Lepisosteus oculatus: one gene and its partners. The protein of the gene in region 3 interacts with the protein of the main gene of each other region in a biochemical or structural test. Links are inferred from orthologs where the notes say so. Each region holds a gene or a part of one and is shown on either strand. Other genes may lie near its edges.

Region 1 (7,893 bases), on a different chromosome or scaffold from region 3:
CAATGACAGGCTACAATAACCTAACCTTTTTAGATTCGGTTGTTGTTTTTTACCCTTGAATATAAAATAATTACAAGAGGACCTGATATTTAAAATCCTCTAAAGGCATTGCCAGCCCAATGAAGTTCTTCAGAATGAACAACAGAAAACAAAATACAGGACACAAGTGGAAACTACGAGGAAGTGCTTTTAAAACCCAAGAACAAGAGGCCTCTTCCCCAAAGGATTAAGGGAGTATGGAATGATATCCATCCATGTGGTTAAAGCCTTTACCTTCAAGAAAGGTCTGGATAAGCTCCAGCTACTTATTACCCAACAGTCTAGACGGGCCAAATGGCTTTGTCTCATTTGTAACCTTTTTTATGTTCTCATGTCCTTAAAAGCCAGAAGACACAGGGGTCCCTCAAGACCAGCGATGAGAACCACTGGAGTAGACAGTATGTCAAGAGCTGGTAAATCACAGCCTGTTATCTTGGATGCCATTTTAAGAACTTTCTTGTGCTGACATTAATCATGTTTTCACATGGCTCCAAGTCTCACTGATGGGAAAACTTAAGTGCACTCTCTGTATTCAGCAAAGTGAGTCATAATAATCAGACTTACCCCACAAGAAAAAGAAAAATCGAATGCTGTTGTGCTTTGTGGGAGGGAGGGAGAAACTGTGAGAGCGTGAGTATTAAATAAATGTTGTTTTTTTTTTTAGAAAGTCCTTTCAGATGCTCTGGGTGTGAAGGGAACCGTGAAAAAAGAACGGCATCTGTATATGGTGGGGCAAACTAGAGTCCATGTAGACACAGTTGAAGGCCTGGGGCACTTCATGGAGCTGGAGGTAAGTTAACTAACAGTCCCAGCTTTAGTGTTCACACTGATTCTAGGGAGAAGTTGAGGCCTGTGTTGAGTGTTGTGGCTGTTTAATGTTCTGTATATATGATATTCTTGCAGAGTATTTGTGGTATGTATTGAATCCAGATGATGCATTATTGAAGTTGCATCCATCAACCTAATTTATAATTTCCTTAAGAGAACTATGCCATGTTGTGTGTCCTTAGAGTTCTTTAATCTGAACTCATGCACACTATAAAATAGTTTTAAAAAAAGTTTTTTCATTATATTGCACTTCATTTTAGTCATTTTAAAAATCACTAAAATGTAGGACTTTTCTTCACAAACCATGTGATACTGATTTTGATCTCTGATAAGATGTAGATCGGACTCTCAAATAAAATGACAGTGAAGGAAATATTAAATTAGCACGTAGTTACATATTCATATATCTTGATTAAAAAGAATTTGTTTGCTTGCATTTCTGTTTTAAATTTCAGATTTTAGAGGAGATCATTGCAGAGTTATATAAAAACAGAGCAACTTAAAGTTTGTATATCAAGTCAGAGATTTAAGTTCTTAAACAGTATTTCCAGTATTATGGATTTATGTATCAACCACAGGTGGTGCTGAATGATGGACAAACTGAAGAAGAAGGAGAAGCTATTGCCCACAAGCTTATGGATGAACTGGGAGTTAGAAAGGAGGACCTCATTGTTGGAGCATACATGGATCTTTTATTAGCCGATAAGAAGTGTTAAATATGACAATTAGTAAGGCATAAGTAAATGCAGTTCATTTTGTAATGCTTTTACAAGCATAATAAATAGATGAAAATACATCTATCTAGCACTTTTTTGTTATAGTGGCTGACTACTGTCGTTATTAATACATCTGTTGAACCATATGTTTGACAGTATCAGGCTTTATTTACTTCTGACTCAAGCATAAGCCAGTACCAAGTTTAGTAATTCATAGAGAACTGATTTCCACTAAAACCACAGTGGCTAACTGAAACAACCAGAAGGTTACAAAGTTTCAAGCTGCTTGCACACCCACAGTTAAGACATTTCACCTTCATCAACAAGAAGCTCCTTACACAGGATAACTGAAAGGCAAAACTACCTTTTTAATCAAATCAAAGCATAGAATAATATTGCTCCACTGCATTTTATATCTTCACTACCTTCACCAAAAATGTGCTTGACTTCTATTCACCCTAACCCTGCAGTTAAATATTCCTTATTTCAGTACAGTGCATATTATTTTTAATCAACATGATGTTGTGCCTATAATTGGGTGTTGGGAAATGTATTGGAGATGTTTATATATTTCAAGTGTAACATCAGAGTTTTAGTACTCTGTAACATTTATTTTTGCATTGTATAATTTCATTCTGTGATGTAATATTCATGTTCTAGATGTTTGTTAAGCCTGATGATAGGATTAGTGAAATACTTTCAAGAAATAAAAAACTTTGAAAGGAATGAGCACATTTCAGTGTGCACTTTACTTCTTATAAGAAATATCTCTGATTGGCTTGCCAGTCCTGGTATGAGATGAGTTATAAATGATTCAACCTCATGAAAACATGAGATAAACACACCTGTTCTGCAATAGGTTAATAAAATTATGTGACTTTTCTTTAGGATATCCAAAAGATACAGCTCAAACTTTGAATAAGTGTTTAGTAATGAGTGATCTGAGCCTCATTTTGTTATGTGAAAGTCCTGAAAATAATTACAAGTGCTGTGTTAGTGTATATCATACCACACCTTCAAATGCATCTTGGTGTTCTATAAAAAGAAAGCTGTTGAAAAGAGATTGCTGAATTTATAATCTACTGACAAAGGATAAATTTGAAATTTTAAATCTGAAATCTATTATTTGGTGAAAATTGTCTATAAAACCACCTTCAAAATAAAAACTTAAGTTACTTACAGTGATTTGATTATATTTTGTTCACAGGAATGGGTCTTTTTATCCTAATCAAATTTCATCTAGCGTCACGCTAAAGGATAAATTAATGCTCTTATTATTTTTTGCTTTGTTTCCTAGTACATATTATCTGCTTTATTGCTTCTAAAATAGCTTTTAAAGAAGCAAGATATTTGTGTTTGTATAGTATATATAAACTATCCCATTCTGTATTCTTACAAGCATCTCTTTTAATTGGAAAGTAGAACTGCTAATTTCTTATTATTCTATGTGTATTTTAATGCAAAGATCCACAACAATGAAGTCTCAAATAATGTTTGAATAATTGCATATTTTTATTTCTAAAGATTATAGATCGAAGACATTATGAGGAAGACATTGAACTTGAGTAAAAGATCTTTGTATGGAATACTTTTAGTTGTGTTATTTTTATAGGAGTGACAGCACTATGCCTTGTGCAGAAGTTACATTACGTGAATAAGAGTCTCTAAACTGACAGTGTGTACGCAGTAATGGACAGGTTCTCTTTTCTAGGGTGTAATAACCTACCTATCCGTCTTATGGTCCTGACATGCTCTGGGTCAGCGTGACACTAGAAATAAGCCGCCATTCGGTAATGGATGGATGGAGTTTGAATTGAGGTAGTACACAATTAAGATAATAGTTAAGTGTTGTAATACCTTATTTCTCCATAGGTGGCTCTCAAATTCCTACACAATTTCAGCACCAAAGGCGATAGAACAGCTCTATGCTTCGACGCATACAACAGATTTTAAAAGTAGGTACTGCGTAGGCTGCAAAGGAACAAGTAAAGGTTTATTCCATGCAGAAAAGGTAAGAAAAGAATCAGCTTTTCGGAGCCTCCACATCCGAAACGATATGTTTCTTTTCTGCGTGGAATAAACCTTTACTTGTTCTTTACAACAGGTTTTTTGCCACTGCGCAGTAGTTTTAGTATGCTTATTTAAAATGCATCTTTTTTAATTCATTGATGTGTCTGCCCTTCCTTTGGACTTTGGTGTTCTGTAAAGGAGTGGTTGATTATTGAAAACGGATGCTTGGATGTATCTTTGTAAACTTGTTAGTGTTAGTCAAGACTCGTCACCGGGGTGCACTTGTTAACGCTTTTATTTAAGGTCAGTATGGTTTATATTCCTACAAGAAATAGTGCTGGCCTCACTAAATCAAGATTGCGGACCATGTTCCCACATTAAGACTGTAAATACTCTTCTGTATTCAAATGCAAAATACTGAGAAACTAAAATAAACTCGAGTATTGCCTCCATGGTTTTGAAGTCGGTTATTTCCATGGTTTTGAAGTGTTTGGCAATTCTTCAATGCTGCCAAGTGCTAATCTGCCATGACCACATGTCAAGTACTGTTTTAACACTTTACTTCAAATACTATCATAACGAGTGCTTAAAGATGTAGAGCTTTTTCTAAAATGTCTGGGATTTCTAAAAAAACGTACATGGCTACATACTGTAATACAACGCGCGCTTAATTAACTCACCAGCTGCTTCTTGAAAGGATAGAAGTTGTTACAGACTCCAACAACTCCCGTTTTCAGTTTAAATGCGGTCCAAAGGAGCTGATTTGTGATTCATTGGTGAGTCTGACCGATCGTTTAATTTTCTTTCCACTCCTATAAATGTAGACATACAATATCAACAGAGTCGTACACGATGGTTACTGTATCTGGTATAACTTTGACAGAATCCTCAGTTCAGGAGTAAAATGTTACTCCAGGATATATCTGTGGTGCTGAGTCAGTGGTTTTTAGACCAATTAAAGAAGAAAGACATGCATTTATGCTCTGAATAATTGTGAAGTGTTTGTCAGCGCATTCCAGTATTACTGTACGTGATGTCCATGTAATACAAAATCTTCTCCACCCACAAACAAATCAATCTCAGTCATAATATTCACAAGCCATCAGCAAAATGCAACCTATTGTACGTTTTTTCGAAATATAGAAAAATGCTATTAAACGCGCATAATCATAACAGAATATGATAATGCTGGATGATACATCTTGGTTTAAAATGTGGTCTGTAGTCTTAAGTACGACCATCCGCAGTGCTGTTTCCTGCTTTGCTAGTTCAGTACAGATTTTTACCTCTTGCTGTTTGATATACTGTACATAGTATTGGGGGAGCTTGGTGTGCGTCCTTTGGAAGGGATAGAGGCTGCGCTTGATTTTTTTTACAAGAGCTTGCTGTTGCATTCCATAGCTCTGATTCTGTGAGTACTTAGCGCTAGATCTATGCAGGTGTATGGCAGTGTTTAATCCACGATTATTTAAAACAACCATTTTCCTAATCAGCACGCTCTTCCTTTCCTTTTTCCCCAAGAGGATTATCTGGATTTTCTGATCGTAGATAAATGTATCCGTGGTACAATTAGTTCATGTTAGTGACATCTGCAGTGTTGCCACAGAGGGGGGCGAAAATTCTTCGCTGATCATCATCCCTTGATCCGGTTTGCCTGCACCCTCTCTGGCTGTGAATGGGCTGTGCTTTGTGATTATCTGCAGTCACTTTTGAGTCATTTCTGGAAGAAGATGGCGGACAGGGCTGAGATGTTTTCTCTCTCCACCTTCCATTCCCTCTCTCCTCCAGGTTGCAGGTAAGACTGCTTCAGCAGCAACATTTTCATTTGCGATAAATCAAGGACATAACGAAAACTCCCGGGCGCTTTGCTGCAGAGGCCAAGGCTGTCGCGGGAGGAGCAGTAGGAATGTCACTGGGTGATGCTCTCAAGTACCGCTACGACAGGTCTGTTGATTCTGGCGCATGGGAGGGTTGGATGGGGGGAAAGCCGTACATTAAAATATTAGATTTGTACTTTTGCTTTTATTATTGTTTCGATATTATTGCTTTCTTTCATAACTATATTTCCAGTGTATATATTGTAGCGTTGCAAGTTTTTTTATTTACCAATTGCTTCTGTAAAATAACACCAGTATTAACATTATATTTAAAAGGAGAGAAATAACCTGAAAGGATATCAAACGGTTGATTCTTTGTAATTCTTTGCTTTACACACGGTTATTAATTGTATTTATCAGACGTTCGAGGAGTTGCTTCTCAAGAGGCCCACGCCCTATTAGATGCATACATGAAGCCTCCATAGTGATGTATTTATTTACAATTATAATTGAAAGAAGGACCCCACTGCTGACATAAACCGATCACTATGTCTGGACTGCTTAATTCTTTTTTCGTCGATTTTAAAAGAGGACTTTGACCCGTGATGTTTATGATTGCTAAAGCTACCTATCCGTAACGTTTGACTTAATGCATATTCACTAGAACGAAATAAAACTTTGTTGACAGCGCACCTATACTGCAGAACACAAAAGAGTGAAATGTATAAAGTTGTACATAAAACTAATAAACCATTTCAGCACCTATCTTTCTATATTATCTCTTACTTGTTATCATGTGATTTAAAAAGACTAGAAGTGGGGTATTGAAGTTGAAATGGGTTGTATGAATGAATGTGAATTACAGTATATATCATAAAAAATGCTCATGCTGTTCTGAAAATAACCCTAATAAAATAGTTTAGTATGAACAGTAATTATATTAAAATGTAATTTTGTGTTTGCTTTTGTAAGGAAAGCAGCTTTTGTAGACATTTGTACTGAGCCATTCCAATTAGGGGTTGTATTCTAACTATTTTGATGAACACAAAAGTCCAGCAAGCTGCGGGATAATCATATTTTTGCACATTGCTCCAACAAATAATTTGTATTCACCCTACTAGGTAAGCATGTCCTCTTAATATGTATTTATAAACAACTATTTGTATTCATAAATATTGACGCAGGGCAACGATTCTGAAGGATTTACTACTGAAAGCCGTCTCTCTTTATTTGAGGCATGCTTCAGTGTGTGTGTTTGCACAATCCACATGCCACTCGGTGTCAGGCAGGGAGTGAAATCTCCCTGGCCCTTGGGGTATTGCAGGAAAAATAAGCTTTGGCCACTTCACAGTCTGAAGCAGTATAGTATTACTTTTCCCCCACCTTAACATCAGAAAATCAGTTCTATTGTAATCTTCAGTGAAGGTGTACCTCTAGGATCCATATTCTTAAAAGGACCACCATTTTGATTTAAACAACGTTGACACTTCCCTTAGGGCCATCAAAAAAAACAGCCCATTAAGGAAAGGCTGAAAGGAATGTCTGTAGAATTGGAGCATGATTTTTAGGTGGTGAGGAGGAAAAAAAACAGGATACATAAAATTGGAAGGACAAAAATAAATGCAATAAAGACAGTAAACAATAAATTACCTTCTCTATGCTCTACAGTTTTCATAGAAGAAAATATATATTGTAAGTTCAGATATTACTCTAGGAGGGTTTTTTTTTTGCTAAAAATAAAAATGAGAATAGATTTTTTTGATCCCAAAGGGAAATTGAGGTGTTACAGCAGCCCACCCCAAGACAAGCAAAGACAGATATCATAACAGACGAAAAATTAAAATAAGTATAGCAATACAAAATAAATATATAGAGTTAGGTGTGTGCAAAATATGCTCATAGTCACTGTAAAACAGTAAAATACGTGCAAAATGCACATAGGTACTGTATATACAGATTGAGTGTCCAAAAAGTACAATAGTGCAACATGCTGTCCATAGATGAGCAGATGAAGGGCAACAGTCCTAGCCTAGGGCAGTGTAACACACCCTGACAGCGGCCAGGAGGAAGGACCTGCAGAAACGTTAATATGAGAATATAAGTAGGTGAAGTGTGGTGGGGATTCTTTGATGTTTCTGAAACACTCACTGTTAAATAGAGCCATCACATCTTTTATTTTATAAGATCAACTGCAGTGAAACTGAACAACAACCCAGTCTCAAGTTACATGCTTTCCTCTTACGCAGGGGTATCACATATTCGTTTTCGAAACTAAATGAAAAATAAAGTGGTATTTTCAGTTTATCTTACACTTCTGTTTCAGTAGAATATTGGTCAGATTTCAGCAGGTTTTCACAAAATATTGGTCAGTGCAGAGCCACATCAATGAGACTTTCCAAGCACAATGGTGCAGTCATTCCCAATTTTATTTCCCTGTCATTCTGTATTTGTGTTCATGTCATGTCATAGGGAAAACAACCCTA
Region 2 (7,378 bases), on a different chromosome or scaffold from region 3:
AGGGATGGGTGATAACGACCTTTGCAGCAGGTGCCAGCCAATCCTGAGATTAAGGTCTAATGGCCCATCACAGTGTCCCTGAGCCAGCCTGTCTCATGTAAACGAGCAGGTCCGCACAGCAAGAGGGCACCGGAGCCACGTGTGTGGATTGGAGACCAGGGCCTCACTCAGACAAGGGGCAAAGGCCAGATACAACCCGATTGGCCGGTTTCTGATTCAGCCAATGAAAGACATAGCTGGTAATCCCTCAGCAGGGTTTCTGGGATAGGAAGCAGGGGCTAAAGTACCTTTCAGGAAGCGCTGTGGGTATCAGAAGCGAGCTGCCTGGGCAGAGCACACAAGCTGCCCCCTGGGAGGTCTTCTGACAAACCACTGGGTGAAACTCCGGGACCAACAGGCAGCAGACTTCCAGGTAAGCACCAAGGCCCAGTGTCTTTCGCCCTCGTGTCTTTCGTTGGGGCAAAAGGAGAAAGGAAATGTCTTCTGTCAGAAGGCTTGTGGTACCTTGTGTGAGCTGCAGCTGTGTGCTGACAGGCCAGCTCCTTCTGTTCCCCTCGCTTGGCTCACTGCAGCTCCCCGACGAACACTCCTCCTGTGCCCAGGACACAGGCAAGGTGAACAAACCTCACATTGAGGAATCGGAAAAGCAGCCCAGCTCATCTGATTCCAGTCACCTTTTAGGGTATTTCCTGCTATTTCCTGGTCCAGGTTTGTTTTTTTCTCCAGAAGCTCTCATTTTCTAACCACCAGGAGTTCGGGAAGGGCACTATAAACAGGGGGTCACAGGTTCAAATCCACCTGGTCCCTCCAACTGGCACCTTCTAGCTACTCCGTGGATCCTACTAGTTGCTTAGTTGGTCGGAACTTTATCTCCACGCCAGTGAATATCATCAGTGTTTTATCAGTGTTTATTTTCTTAGAAAATGTTTTTAGCCATTTAGAACTTCAGAGCACACTTTCAAAGTGTTCGAGGAACTCCAGATCAGCTCCACGGCTGAAAGCAGACCTGCTTGCAGTTTTCCCCGATCCCATGATTTCCAGGGAGAGCGCAAGTTTGAGCTGTGATCGGAGAGGTCGAAGGTCGGGCTTTTAGCACAACTTGCTGTGCCGTTTACTCACATCTATAAAGAGAGCTTTCAGACCGCGACTTATGAATCACAGGGGCCCTAACAAAAATGTCTATGGCACACTGCATTTTACATCGAATGCTAAAATAGTTTCTTTTGTTCAGGGCAATTCCATGTTCCTTTACAAATTACTTCTGGTGGGGGGAGGCAGTACAATTGAGCTATTCTTGTACGTTCTCTTCCGTGCGTGGGTGAGAATAGGCACCAACTTGCACAAGGAGACCCGAAACTCGCCCACTCCTGACTGTTTCCACCACTCGTGTGTTTGTGAATTTCAAGGTGAAAGACTACCTTGTCCCAGTGAAGCCGGTGAGCAGCCGTGGGTATCGGGGATTACCTAGCGCTGTTGCACTGATGTCGGTAGCGTGAAATCGACGCCCAGACAGAAGGAGCGCAGATTCACTGTCAGGGGATCAGGACAGTAAGCGATCGTGTTGGCTTCGTATGAGCACTGTCGTGCGAGTACCGGCCAGCTGCAGCCTTCGTGCACCGATACCATTTTGTCAGACCAAAGTGCTGAAATATTTAAAGCAGTTGTGCCAGTCTCGAGGGACACGGAGAGAACCCCCAGTGTCTGACTCGGTACCGCACCTCCGCGGGACACTTCTCTCCCGCTCCCCGACCACATTCCCAGGTAGACGAGTACAGGAAATGGGATCATTTGTTGTCTATGCCCTCCTCTGGTTAAAATCGAGATTTAAAAGCGTTTTGATGCGACTACAACAGCAATATATAAAATTCTATGATTTGCGACCCTGTTTTCACCTCTTCCTCAGATTAAAGTAGACGTCTTACGGTAGAGTGACGGTCATCTTTACGGATATATCTGCAGAAGATATATATATATTTGATATAAATCTGCAGAATGTCGTTTTTTGTGTGTCGGCGCGTCCGGTTATAGTCAGGACAGTTAAGGAGCGCTAACTCCATCATGACACCGAGCCGGTGTTGTTTGTTTCGGGGGTCAGTAGCTCCACGGTGTCGGCAGCGCTGATGGCGATGGTGACTAACAGACGTGATCGACTCCTCGTTCTGTCTGGTTAATGACTACATGATCGGACTGACTCATCCCCCACACACAGCCCCCTTCAGTCCGTGTCTCCGCAGAGAATGAAAAACACGTCCTTCCCTCTCACACACACACAGAACAACAACAACTGTGTCCAAACACCGTTAAGAGCAAGACCAAGCTCGCCCCGGGCTCGGTTTGAGGTGTGTGTGTGTGTGAACACTGCCCTGCTAACACGAGCAGAACACTCTGTCCTGAAGCACCGACCTGCAGCCTCGCAATTCCGACTCTGACAAAAGAAAGCGCCTTCCTCCGTTTCACACCTCGCTCAGGCGCTTGGCACATCAACCTGGATTTCCGAACGAAAAACTTTGAACTTCTTTCCGTTTCTTCATTTACATGTGTCGGGCGCTTGCTGTAACCGGCTGTTAACAGCTCCGGTGGCGCCTCGCAATTGAAATATGTGATTTTACCAATACGATCTCTAGCCAGGGCGAGAGGCGCCTCGCTTTAAATCGTGGACACTTCAGTCGTCAAGTTTGCCATCATTGAGAAATGGATTTAGGAAGCCGCTGACCTCGATTGAATGCCTTGCTACGTCTCATCCTACCCTGTACGTGGCAACCGTCTTATGCTATTCCAAACACATGCGCTCCAGAAGTATCTCGACATCAGTTAAGGTTATTTCTTCTGAGTCCTTCAGCGAAATTCACCCATGAATTAAAACCCGCGTCTTTTGAATTGAAATAAAAATGAGAGATCACGAGAAAAATAAATGACCGCTTACATTTAAAACATACTCATGCGACAGTCAATTAAACACATACAACTGACCCTATGAGACACTTCAGAAAGACGCATTTTCTCATTTTCGCCTGGAAACAGTGACAGGCAGGTGGCAGCACGGCTTCAATTATCAGTTGGCTAAATGCGCCCACTTTCCACCAGAGGGCGATCGCGGGCCGAGATACTGAGCCCCGCCGCGAAAGTGCAGCGTCACGCAATCCGGTTCAGACTGTTAGCAAGTTGCCGTGCTGGGGAGCAGTTGTTAACTCAGGGCATGTTAGCCACGTTAATCTGTTACTGTTATCATTCGTAGCAACCATTTTGACTGCATTTCATTGCAAATTGCTCTTTCACACAGCAAACTGTTGCAGTCAATTTATTTTAAAGATTATTTTTTTTCTTTCCAATAATAGTAAAATTATTTTTTTGTGTGCAAGCCTCACGAAAAAACACAAAACGTTACTTAACAGAAGAAGGGCAAATAAATTGTGAGGGCTATTACCCTGGAATTACCTCATGCTGGAAAGTTCATGAAAGTTGCGAGGCGTTACAACATGTACCTGCAGTGACTGCCTGTGACCACTAGGGGGACCCCCCGATAACAAAGTTAACGTGGAGCCGGTTTTCATTTGAAAACTCGGGGTTGCTGCAGTGTGATTTGGACAGTTGCTTATCAACAGTTACTGTGCACGGCACACAGCAATCGCAAAGCACAAAGAGAACACCAGTCTGCATCTAGCATTGCAACTCTTCCTAGTGTGCTTACTAAACCTGTTTTGTTGTACTGAAATTAAAAACCGATCGTGATTTTTCATAACTTTGTTATGGAAGTTGGGCCACCACAAAAACCAACAGAAATTAGGTATGCGAACACTGAAGCCCAGTGAAGACAGCGTCAACAATGTAGTGCGTGTCTCTGCGCCTCGTCCATGAAATCGCAATTAACCTCACAGGAATGCGGACGCGACGACGCGCAGGTTATGAAAATTCCAGGTAACACATCTAGAAATCCGGTCTTGCTTTCTGGAAACTAAACGTTGGAGGATGCTGCAGGTTAAAAAAAAAAAACACCCCGATACATCTAGAATAATACATGAAGTCGGATCGCGACAAGTTAATCATATGACATTCTCAGATGAGGCTGTTTTATCCTGTCACGCTGCCCTGTCAGTTGCACAACGCGTCCTCGGTTCTGCATGAGGCGCAAAGTCCCCCTCCTAACACGAGGAAAGTCAGGTGCTTCCAAAAAAGACGCGATCATAAGATAAGCCGAGTGGGGTCTGGTGTTGCAGTCCCCTTGCTAGAGAAGAGACACTGGGCCAGTACAGAAGCACGCAAATCCCCGAAAAGTATCACTGTATTGCTTTGCAAACACCTTTCAAAAGTTTCATGCAAGCGAACAGGTCCTCGCTGTCGACAGAGCTTGCAGTGAGCCGACATTTCAGATGTGCTTTTATTTACCGAAGCTCCTGCAATTATTTTCCTACTATTTTCACTTTTGTTCCCGAGTGAAAAACGGCGTAAGGAAACAGTCCGGGAATTCCAGAGGATTCGAAATTCAAACAAACACGGGTGAATTTCTTTGAGGGGGGGGGGGGAGAGAGAGGCTATCGCGCCCCACGTGGGCTCAGAGCGATACGTTCGTACGGGCCGCCCAATGGTTGCAAAGGCTGAGCTCGCTCTTGAAATCCTCTGGCCAATCAGAGCAAAGGGCTGCAGACCCGGCCTCGCCCACATGAAAAGACAATATATAGTCGTCTGCCGCCGAGAATATCCCAGAAACTAAGCGAGCGGACTTGGATATACAAACCGGTTTATTGTAACTCAGGCGATCGGACTCGGTTACAACGACTCTGAGCTGCAACGTTTGGATTACTCAGCCAGCGAGTACCTTGTTACACGGGATTTTAACTTTGGAGTTTATCTGGACATTGTGGATTACAACAATTTATATTTCAACATGACTCTGGAAGAAGTCGTTGGATGCAGTATCGCTGACCAAAAGTAAGTAAACGCTCTAAAGAAGTTTTGAGTTTCACTCACCTGAGCGCTGTGCTTTGCGACTGCACCTTGTAGCCGGGTCTCTCTTTGACTGTGTAGGGCTGCACATCGGCTCCTGCGAGCTCTGAACAGCTGGGATCGCGCTTAGCAAGTCCTAACCTCGGCTCCCTGTTCTCTCTTGCAGGATGGAAACCGTGGCGCAAGCTTTGGAAGAGCTGCTGGTGACGGCTCAGAGACAGGACAGCCTCACGGTGGGGGTCTACGAGTCTGCAAAGCTAATGAACATGTAAGTATCCGTTCATCTCATCGGCCGGGTACGTGTGATGAAGAGTCGAGGTGTCTGTGCTTCCACGTCTTGTATTATTGCACCGTATTGTGCGTTAGGGAGGTTGCAGAGGAGTGCAAACTGAAACTTAGCGAGCGGGGCGGTTTGCAGAGCCCGGTGCCCGTGTAGTAACGCTGTATCTCCTCCGCCCGCAGCGACCCCGACAGCGTCGTGCTCTGCATCCTGGCCACGGACGAAGAGGACGAGGACGACATCGCCCTGCAGATCCACTTCACGCTGATCCAAGCCTTCTGCTGCGACAACGACATCAACATCCTGCGGGTGTCGGGCGTGCAGAGGCTGGCGCAGGTGCTGGGCGAGGCGGGCGCGGACTGCAACGCCAACGAGCCGCGGGACCTGCACTGCCTCCTGGTCACTGTAAGTGTCCTACAGCGCTGTGCCCGGGGTGCGGGAGGGGTAGCAGACCAGCAGTCGTGGCTGAGACGCAGGAGGTGCTCATTCGCGGTGCTCATTCGCATGCTGGGCATGTGTCTCTTCAGTCCGGGTGCAACATTCAGAGCTGGCACCCGTGGTCCAGAATCGGCATTTCTTAGCGAATTCGGGGGCATGCAAAACGGGGTGGGAGGTCCGGGGTTGCTCGGAGCCGCCCGTGAGACGAGCCGGCAGCTCGGCAGTATCGCGCGTCACATGGCCCCGTGCTTTCAGTTTCGGGAATACAGGCCAGCGTGCTAATGATCCGCCTTCTCCCCTCCCAGAATCCGCACACCGACTCCGGGAAGAGCCAGGCGCTCAAGGCCGTCGGCAGCTACTGCGAGGAGAGCCGCTGCCAGAACCAGTGGGTCCCCTTCCTGGCGCTGCAGGAGCGCTGAGGGGCGCCGGCGCCCCAGCCGAAGCGGAGGACAACAGCGACATTCTCGGGGGAAGGAAGGAAATAAATAACTAAAAAAATGTTAGGGTGTATTCAACAACACACACACAACCGCACGGCCCTCGGCTTGCAACGAGCAGTTGGAAAGGAGCTGGGAAAGAGTGGACGGGACAGGGCCGGGCCCGGAGGCCGCGGTCTCGCCGCAGAGCGGAACAGCCCTGGCGGGGGACGCCGAGGGGGAACCCGGCGGGCCGGCGGGCAGGGCGGCGGAGCAGCGCCGTGGTGCGACGGGCAACCCTGCCAGTTTCACAGCGCCGAGGGGGTGGCGGCGGCGGGAGGGGAGGGGGGTTAGACTGTCGTGACGATTGCCTTGCCTGTTGCAGTAGGGGAGACGTGACACAAACCCAAAAAATCCCCCGGACACACACGGTGGAGAGGAACGGCGCTCTGACTAACATGCAAACCGGCAGGAGACGGCAAACAAGAAACCTGTGGGAGTGTGCGAGCAGAGCGGGTTCAGCCGCTTCCCAGTACACGGACTGCAAGTGACTTTCAAAGCTCATGTCAGAACCCACACCAGCACTCCCGCTGGTTTCGCAGCGATGTGGGTGTTGAGGGACATTCACATGAGCAGTGCAAGCTGGGTCTGGAATGTATTGAAGTGTCGAGATGAAATAATATATTCATTTTTCTATTTATGAACGTGTTTTCGAATGCCAGTTTTCACTTGTTTTGTTTTTAAATAAATTATTTGGATTGGAAATTGAAGTTCTTGTCTCTTTCTATTGGCTCTCATGCTGATGTGGCTCTTCTGGGGAGAATGGGTGGGGGTGCACCCCCATTGGTGGGTTTTGGGGTTCAACATTGCACAGTAAACTCCAACAGTGTTTCAAACTATTGCACTCGTAGCAGTGTGCAATAAGCATACATTTATTATCCCTTTGTGTTATAATTCAAGCTCATCCTCTTATTGCAGAACAGCCTAATGCTTCAGGAGCTGTTCTGGCCTACAAAATAAAGATTCACTAACTCATTGAAGTGAGGCTGGATCTCACTTACAGAAGCAGAGCTCCAGTTTGGAATAGTTCCCAGGGTACAAAAAGGGCACCTCGCTCACAAAGTTGCATTTCTAATCCTGTTGCAAATTTTCTTTTTCAAAAGACTTGCAGGTTCCACAATTATGAAATGAAAGGACAATGGGGGCCTTTTTTTCCCAAAAGGGATGTTTGTGTGTTCTGGGGGAGGAGGGTGAACTATTGCTTTGTATGCACATTTCATTTTAAAAAGGAAATGTTTCCGAT
Region 3 (7,446 bases):
CGGAGCCTGTGGAATTACAACCGTACCGACACGCTGCCTGTGTTTCAGTCTCCTTTCCCAGGTGACGATGAGGAGGAGGTGTTCGACAGCATCGTTAATGATGAAGTCCGTTACCCACGATTCCTCTCCACCGAGGCCATTGGCATCATGAGACGGGTGAGGTTCTCCCCTCGGCCAATCACAGGCCGGCCTTGTGCCGTCAGCCACCTAGAAAAGGCAAATCACACACCAGCTCCTGCTGTCGTGTCTCTTATTAAATGAGAACCCATTAGAAGAACTTAACAAAAGGTCAGAGATGAGAAGACGCTGTTCAGCACACTGAGTTTGCTTGCCAGGGATTTGTCCCGGGATCTTATCCAGCTGTTTCTGTTATGGGCTTGAGCCACACAGCTGGACCTCCTCTTGGCCTGTGGGGGTTGGCCGTGGTCCACTCATGATTATTGTGTCGTCCCACTGATGCACTGTGGGCACTGTCTGTGTGCAGCTCCTGCGGAGGAACCCAGAGCGCAGACTGGGCTCCACTGAGAGGGATGCCGATGATGTGAAGAAGCAGCCCTTCTTCAGGGTAAGCGTCTCACTGTCTAGCTCTCTCTCATCATCCTTGTTCGCTGTCTGTAAGCTCTCCCTCATTCTGCCCTCTGGTGTCTAACCTCTCTCTATCTCCGGGTTTGTGTGTCCACTGTCTGGATCTCTCTGCTCTCTTCCCTCTCTGATCTTTATTCCTTATCTCGTCCTGGCTCCATCCATCTCCCAGGGGGTAGATTGGGAGGTGCTGTGTCTAACCAGTCTCTCGCTCTTTCAGGGGGTGGACTGGGAGATTCTGAGTAACCTGTCTCCTCTCTCAGGGGGTGGACTGGGAGGTGCTGAGTAACCTGTCTCTCTCTCTCAGGGGGTGGACTGGGAGGTGCTGTGTCTAACCTGTCTCTCTCTCTCAGAGGATGGACTGGGAGGTGCTGTGTCTAACCTGTCTCTCTCTCTCCGAGGATGGACTGGGAGGTGCTGTGTCTAACCTGTCTCTCTCTCCCAGGGGGTGGACTGGGAGGTGCTGTGTCTAACCTGTCTCTCTCTCCCAGGGGGTGGACTGGGAGGCGCTGCTCCAGCGGCAGGTGAAGCCGCCCTTCGTGCCTTCCATCGTGGGGAAGGAGGACGTCAGCAACTTCGACGAGGAGTTCACGACAGAGGCGCCCACCCTGACCCCACCCCGAGAGCCCCGCCCGCTCTCCCGCAAGGAGCAGGAGAGCTTCAAGGACTTTGACTACGTCTCCGACCTCTGCTAGCCCTGCTGCGCCTGGACAGAGGGGGCGCTGTCTGCCTGCCTGTCCGTCTCGGCGCTGCGACCGAGGGAGACTTTGGGCAGTGTGTCTGCCCCTGGACACCTGGACCCTGGACTGTTCCCAGAGCGCTCCCTCCTCTGCTTCCCTGCGCGCTGCCTTCGTCCCTCTCCCTCTCCGGACAAGAGGATGTGGATTAGGTCAGCGGACTCTCGGGAATGACATATTCCCGCGCGCAGGCCGAGCTGCAGAGAAGGGGAGAGGGAGAGGTGACGGGGTTCGAGCAGAGACCCAGCCCCGGTGCGGCAGCTCGTGTGGCATGGGTCCTCAGTGAAGGAGGGAGGAGGGGACTGAGCAGCACAAGGTGTGGTAGGGTGGTGGGCAGGCAGTGTGCCTTTTCCGCCTAAACACCGAGAGAGAGGAGGAGGAGCAAGAGACTTCCGGTTATACTGTGATAGAGGTGGTGAGGGGTGGGGCTGTAGCACCGACCGAAGCCTTAACGTTTCGAGAGCTGTCTTGCGGGGCTGGCATGAGTAGAGCGAGAGGTTTGCAGACTGAAGCCTGCAGCGCTGGAGGAACGAGTCGCTCCAATTATATTTTTAAAATGCTTTTAGTACGTGTGTGTGTGTGAACAGGGGGGGGATCGAGCAGAGCGGATGAGCAGGACATGAAGGAGACACAACCAGCCGGGATCGGGAGTGGTCACTCCAGACCCGATTCTGAAGGTCCGGTTCATGTGGAGAAGGAGTGGTCACTCCAGACCCGATTCTGAAGGTCCGGTTCATGTGGAGAAGGAGTGGTCACTCCAGACCCGATTCTGAAGGTCCGGTTCATGTGGAGTAGAAGTGGTCACTCCAGACCCGATTCTGAAGGTCCGGATCATGTGGAGTAGAAGTGGTCACTCCAGACCCGATTCTGAAGGTCCGGATCATGTGGAGAAGGAGTGGTCACTCCAGACCCGATTCTGAAGGTCCGGATCATGTGGAGAAGGAGTGGTCACTCCAGACCCGATTCTGAAGGTCCGGTTCATGTGGAGAAGGAGTGGTCACTCCAGACCCGATTCTGAAGGTCCGGTTCGCGTGGAGTAGAAGTGGTCACTCCAGACCCGATTTTGAAGGTCCGGTTCGCGTGGAGTAGAAGTGGTCACTCCAGACCCGATTTTGAAGGTCCGGTTCGCGTGGAGAAGGAGTGGTCACTCCAGACCCGATTCTGAAGGTCCGGATCATATGGAGAAGGAGTGGTCACTCCAGACCCGATTCTGAAGGTCCGGTTCATGTGGAGAAGGAGTGGTCACTCCAGACCCGATTCTGAAGGTCCGGATCATATGGAGAAGGAGTGGTCACTCCAGACCCGATTCTGAAGGTCCGGATCATATGGAGAAGGAGTGGTCACTCCAGACCCGATTCTGAGGGTCCGGTTCATGTGGAGTAGAAGTGGTCACTCCAGACCCGATTCTGAAGGTCCGGATCATGTGGAGAAGGAGTGGTCACTCCAGACCTGGTTCTTGTGGAGCTTGTGAAGGTTTGAAAAGTTCTGTTATTATTTTACAGTAAGTGAAATTTTAGTTTCAGGATTTAAAATAATATTAATGATGATATTAACAAAGTTGTGTAAATTATACCGAGTACATTATGCAGAAAAAAAACATTGTGGAAGTAGTGAAGGACTGAATGATTAAATTTTTATTTTTACTCTTAATTTTCCTGTTTAATGTATCTTTTTTATAAAGGGCTTTTCTAACACAAGTGTGTTTAGTGTCACTGGGAAAACATACAGCAAGCAGTCTCAGGAATCTCTCTCAGGTGACCCAAAGATCCATGTCACCCCAAAATCAGCATTGTACCAAATTGTCCCCCAATAATGGGATCTTATTGAAACCCTTCCAATAGGAAGTCTCCTGTTTCCTGGACTGGTTTCATTTAACCTTGGCCAGCTGTGCAGTTCATGTGGAGTTTTTACAGAAGGTTCCTGCAGGATTTACTCAGGTTTCACAGAGGATTCAGGCCGGATTCATGCAGGGTTCACAGGGGATTCAGGCCGGATTCATGCAGGGTTCACAGAGGATTCAGGCCGGATTTATGGAGGGGTTCACAGAGGATTCAGGCTGGATTCATGCAGGGTTCACAGAGGATTCAGGCTGGATTCATGCAGGGTTCACAGAGGATTCAGGCCGGAGTTACGTAAGGTGCAAAGAATTTATGCAGGGTTCACAAAGAGCACATACAGGATTTACGCAGGATTCACACAGGCTTTACAAAGCATTTACACAAGATACACAAGGGGATTGCAGGATTTACCAGGTTTCAAGCTAGATATATGCAGGGTTCAGAGAGGGTTCATGTTGTATTTACACAGAAATTACACGGGGTTCACAGTATTTACACAGGGTTCATGTAGTATTTACACGGGAATTACAGAGGGTTCACAGTATTTACACAGGGTTCATGTAGTTACACGGGAATTACAGAGGGTTCACAGTATTTACAGAGGGTTCACACAGGATTTACTCAGGGTTCACAGGAGATTCAGGCAGGATTACTCAGGGTTCACAGGGGATTCACATGGGACTTACACAATTCATAAAGGGTTCATGCAGGATTTGTGCAGTATTCACAGAAGGCTGGTTCCACAGTCTCTAGTCTGTATTCTCTCTCCTCTCACACATACTGTCCACAGTCTCCTGTCTGTATCTCTCCTCTCACACATACTGTCCACAGCCTCTGTGGAGTGACATCTTTCCCCATAATTCTGAAAAAAATTCACCCATGATACAACAGCACTAATGATAATGATTAGAGATACAATGTGTTCTATGATTATACTCTGAAAATAAAATTCTACAAAATATGTTGATTTGTCAGTCCTCCAGGACCACGTGAGGCGCTCTAACACGGCATATTACTCTTATTTTAAACAATTACAAAAAGTCCAAATACAGTGTTTGTCTCCACAATGGTAGAGTGCATTCCTCTCATAATGTCAGTATCATTGTATTTATTGTCATCATTATTATGAGGGTTGTCTCTGTCGGTTCGTAAATGCTACACTGTCTGGATATCTATGGCACCGGATAGTTGGTAGTGTAGTCATCCACTATCCCAGCATGCCACTTAGGGAGAGTCTGTGGAGAGATTGTGCGCACTCGGTGGTACCTCTCAGTTTTTCCAAAATGTCGTCGTTGGAGCAGAGACTCTCCCGAATCGAGGAGAAACTAAAACAGGAGAATAAAGAAGCGCGAAGGCGCATCGACCTCAACATCGATATGAGCCCGCAGCGTGCCCGACCCCGACCCAGTGAGTCTTGGAGCCGGTAGAGCCGGGAGCGGTGGTGGGGGTCGGCAGGAATTTGGGACAGGGACGGGGAGAGGGAGGGGAACGAGGAGGAGGGGAGATCGAAAATCTGTAGACATTTCTACACAAACCGCAGCGCCCGCCGGACCCCGGGTGCCGGACGGGTCCGGTATTCGGGACCTGAAGCGGACACGAGTGAAGTTCCTCTCCGGTTTGCGGGTCTGGACTCGGACCTGCAGGCCGCGGCTCTGCCTGGTCGTCCAGTCCCGTCGCTTTCCGGCGCCGCTGTCCGGTTTCTTGTTTTTTGTTTTTCAGTTTCATTTCATTTTCGTGCTTAGTGGTTTAAAATGTGACCAAGGAAGCGGCAGGGCGGCCCTGTCGCCTCCTGTAAACACCGCAGCCGTGACGGGACCGCCGTGGCGCGACCTTGTGACGGGTTAAGTTACGTTGCAGCTTCTGTCTTGGACTTGAGCACAAAGCTCAGCAAGACGTGTGAAAACATCCGTACGGGTGTCAGCTCCTGTCTCGCAGGCGTGTTTGAGAAGGTCTGTAGGTGGAGGAGCTGTCTTCACTCCGCAGAAGAGTGCCGGGATTGTAAACCCGTGTGTTTGGATTGGCTTGCGTTTGTCGGTCATCTGAAATAGAAAGTAGTCATTCGGCACGTTAAACGTGGTTGTCTGTCTGACAGTGGCATAGTTTACTGATATGCACAGAGCAGGACAGGGAGAGACAGGAGACAGGACAGGATCCCTCAGTTCTACATGTGCAATAGGACAGGAGACCAAGGAAGTAACAGAATCCTTCAGTGAGAAACACACAGTAGGACAGTAGACACTGGAGCTAAAACACTGACACCATAATTATAGATGAACACACCGAAGGAGTTGTTTCTTCTATCCCGCCTGCTGGGTTTGTTGATTGTAGAAACAGCATTTACTCGTGGGGTCACTGCGAGAGTAGCTGTTTGTGTGCAAGTGATGCAAAGCGGTGCACACGGCGATTACAACTTTGTATGCTGTGGTTTGCAGTGTGCATAGCTGTCTGTGGATATACAGTGTGTATATTTCATTATAACTGTGTGTAGCAGTGTACATTATGCACAGCTGGTTATAGCAGAGTGGACAGTGTGTGGAAGTGGACAGTGTATACGGCTGGTTATAGCAGACTGGACAGTGTGTGGAAGTGGACAGTGTATACGGCTGGTTATAGCAGACTGGACAGTGTGTGGAAGTGGACAGTGTATACGGCTGGACAGTGTGTATAGCTGGTTATAGCAGACTGGACAGTGTGTGGAAGTGGACAGTGTATACAGCTGGTTATAGCAGACTGGACAGTGTGTGGAAGTGGACAGTGTACGGCTGGTTATAGCAGAGTGGACAGTGTGTGGAAGTGGACAGTGTATACGACTGGTTATAGCAGAGTGGACAGTGTGTGGAAGTGGACAGTGTATACAGCTGGTTATAGCAGAGTGGACAGTGTGTGGAAGTGGACAGTGTATACGGCTGGTTATAGCAGAGTGGACAGTGTGTGGAAGTGGACAGTGTATACGGCTGGTTATAGCAGACTGGACAGTGTGTGGAAGTGGACAGTGTATACGGCTGGTTATAGCAGAGTGGACAGTGTGTATAACTGGTTATAGCAGAGTGGACAGTTGGTATGGCTGGTTATAGCAGAGTGGACAGCGTGTACAGAATTGGATAGTGTACGGCTGGTTAAAGCACTGGACAGTGTGTATAGAAGTGGACTTTGTACAGCTGGTTATAGCAGTGAGGACAGCTGGTTATAGCACAGTGGACAGTGAGGGTGGGAGTGGACAGTGAGTACAGCTGGTTATAGCACAGTGGACAGTGAGGGTGGGAGTGGACAGTGTGTACAGCTGGTTATAGCAGTGCAGTCTCTAAGTATTTGGACAATTTTGGTTGTTTTGGCTCTGTACTCCAGCACATTGGATTTGAAATGAAACAATGACTATGAGGTTAAAGTGCAGAATGTCAGCTTTAATTCGAGGGTATTTACGTCTATATTGGGTGAACCATATAGGAATCACAGCCCTTTTTATACATAGTCCTCCCATTTCAAGGGGTTTAAATGTAATTTGACACATTAACATAATCTTAAATAAAATGGTCATGTTTAGTACTTTGTGGCAAGTCCTTTGCAGTTGATGATTGCCTGAAGTCTGCCATCCGTAGACATCACCAGAAGCTGGGTAACTTCCCTGGTGATGCTCTGCCAGGCCTGTAATGCAGCCATTTTCAGTTCCTGCTTGTTTCGGGGGCTTTTTGCCTTCAGTCTTGTCTTCAGTAAGTGAAATGCATGCTCAGTGGGATTCAGGTTGGGTCATTGACTTGGCCAGTCAACAACGTTCCACTTCTTGACCCTGAAAAGCCCCATAGTTGCTTTGGCAGTATGTTTGGGGTCGCTGTCCTGCTGCAAGGTGAAGTGCCGTCCAATGAGTTTTGTGCCATTTGGTTGGATTTGAGCAGATAAGATGCTTCTGTACACTTCAGAATTCATCCTGCTGCTGCTGTTGGCTCACTTGTCTTTATTGGTGATGTGACTGCCAGTTCTACTGGCAGCCATACATGCCCAAGCCAAGACACTACCTCCACCATGTTCCACAGTGGTAGATCCTGGAGAGTGTTCTCGATCTGTTCAGCAGTCGAAAAGGGGTTTTTCTTCACGATTGACAGTATTTTTCTGTCATCCACTACTGTGGTCTTCCGTGGTCTACCAGGTCGTTTGCTGTTGCTAAGCTCACCAGTGCGTTCTTGCTTCCTAACAATGTACCAGACAGTTGATTTTGACACACCTAATGTTTTGGCTACGTCTCTGATTGGTTTATTCTGACGTTTCAGCCTCATGATGGCCTGTTTTTACTGGCA

Evidence for each region.
Region 1: the proteins of map2k7 (region 3) and mapk8ip2 form a complex in vitro, tested with the Homo sapiens proteins (2 studies listed by BioGRID). The link is inferred for Lepisosteus oculatus from reciprocal best matches to the Homo sapiens genes MAP2K7 and MAPK8IP2.
Region 2: the proteins of map2k7 (region 3) and growth arrest and DNA damage-inducible protein GADD45 beta form a complex in vitro, tested with the Homo sapiens proteins (2 studies listed by BioGRID and IntAct). The link is inferred for Lepisosteus oculatus from reciprocal best matches to the Homo sapiens genes MAP2K7 and GADD45B.

Annotation. Positions count from the first base shown.
Region 1 is NC_090702.1:14,099,445-14,107,337, reverse strand, and holds the start of mapk8ip2 (C-Jun-amino-terminal kinase-interacting protein 2), read left to right. Parts: upstream 1-4,855; 5' UTR 4,856-5,323; coding exon 5,324-5,388; intron 5,389-5,414; exon of another isoform or gene 5,415-5,499; coding exon of another isoform or gene 5,500-5,537; intron 5,538-7,893. UniProt on the Homo sapiens protein: The JNK-interacting protein (JIP) group of scaffold proteins selectively mediates JNK signaling by aggregating specific components of the MAPK cascade to form a functional JNK signaling module.
Region 2 is NC_090724.1:1,678,658-1,686,035, reverse strand, and holds growth arrest and DNA damage-inducible protein GADD45 beta, read left to right. Parts: upstream 1-4,712; 5' UTR 4,713-4,882; coding exon 4,883-4,926; intron 4,927-5,107; coding exon 5,108-5,209; intron 5,210-5,403; coding exon 5,404-5,626; intron 5,627-5,964; coding exon 5,965-6,078; 3' UTR 6,079-6,840; downstream 6,841-7,378.
Region 3 is NC_090706.1:13,862,111-13,869,556, reverse strand, and holds the start of map2k7 (dual specificity mitogen-activated protein kinase kinase 7), read left to right. Parts: upstream 1-4,347; 5' UTR 4,348-4,374; coding exon 4,375-4,564; intron 4,565-7,446. Other genes in the region: pkn1a (serine/threonine-protein kinase N1), read left to right, coding at 49-156, 485-565, 1,074-1,277. UniProt on the Homo sapiens protein: Dual specificity protein kinase which acts as an essential component of the MAP kinase signal transduction pathway. Essential component of the stress-activated protein kinase/c-Jun N-terminal kinase (SAP/JNK) signaling pathway.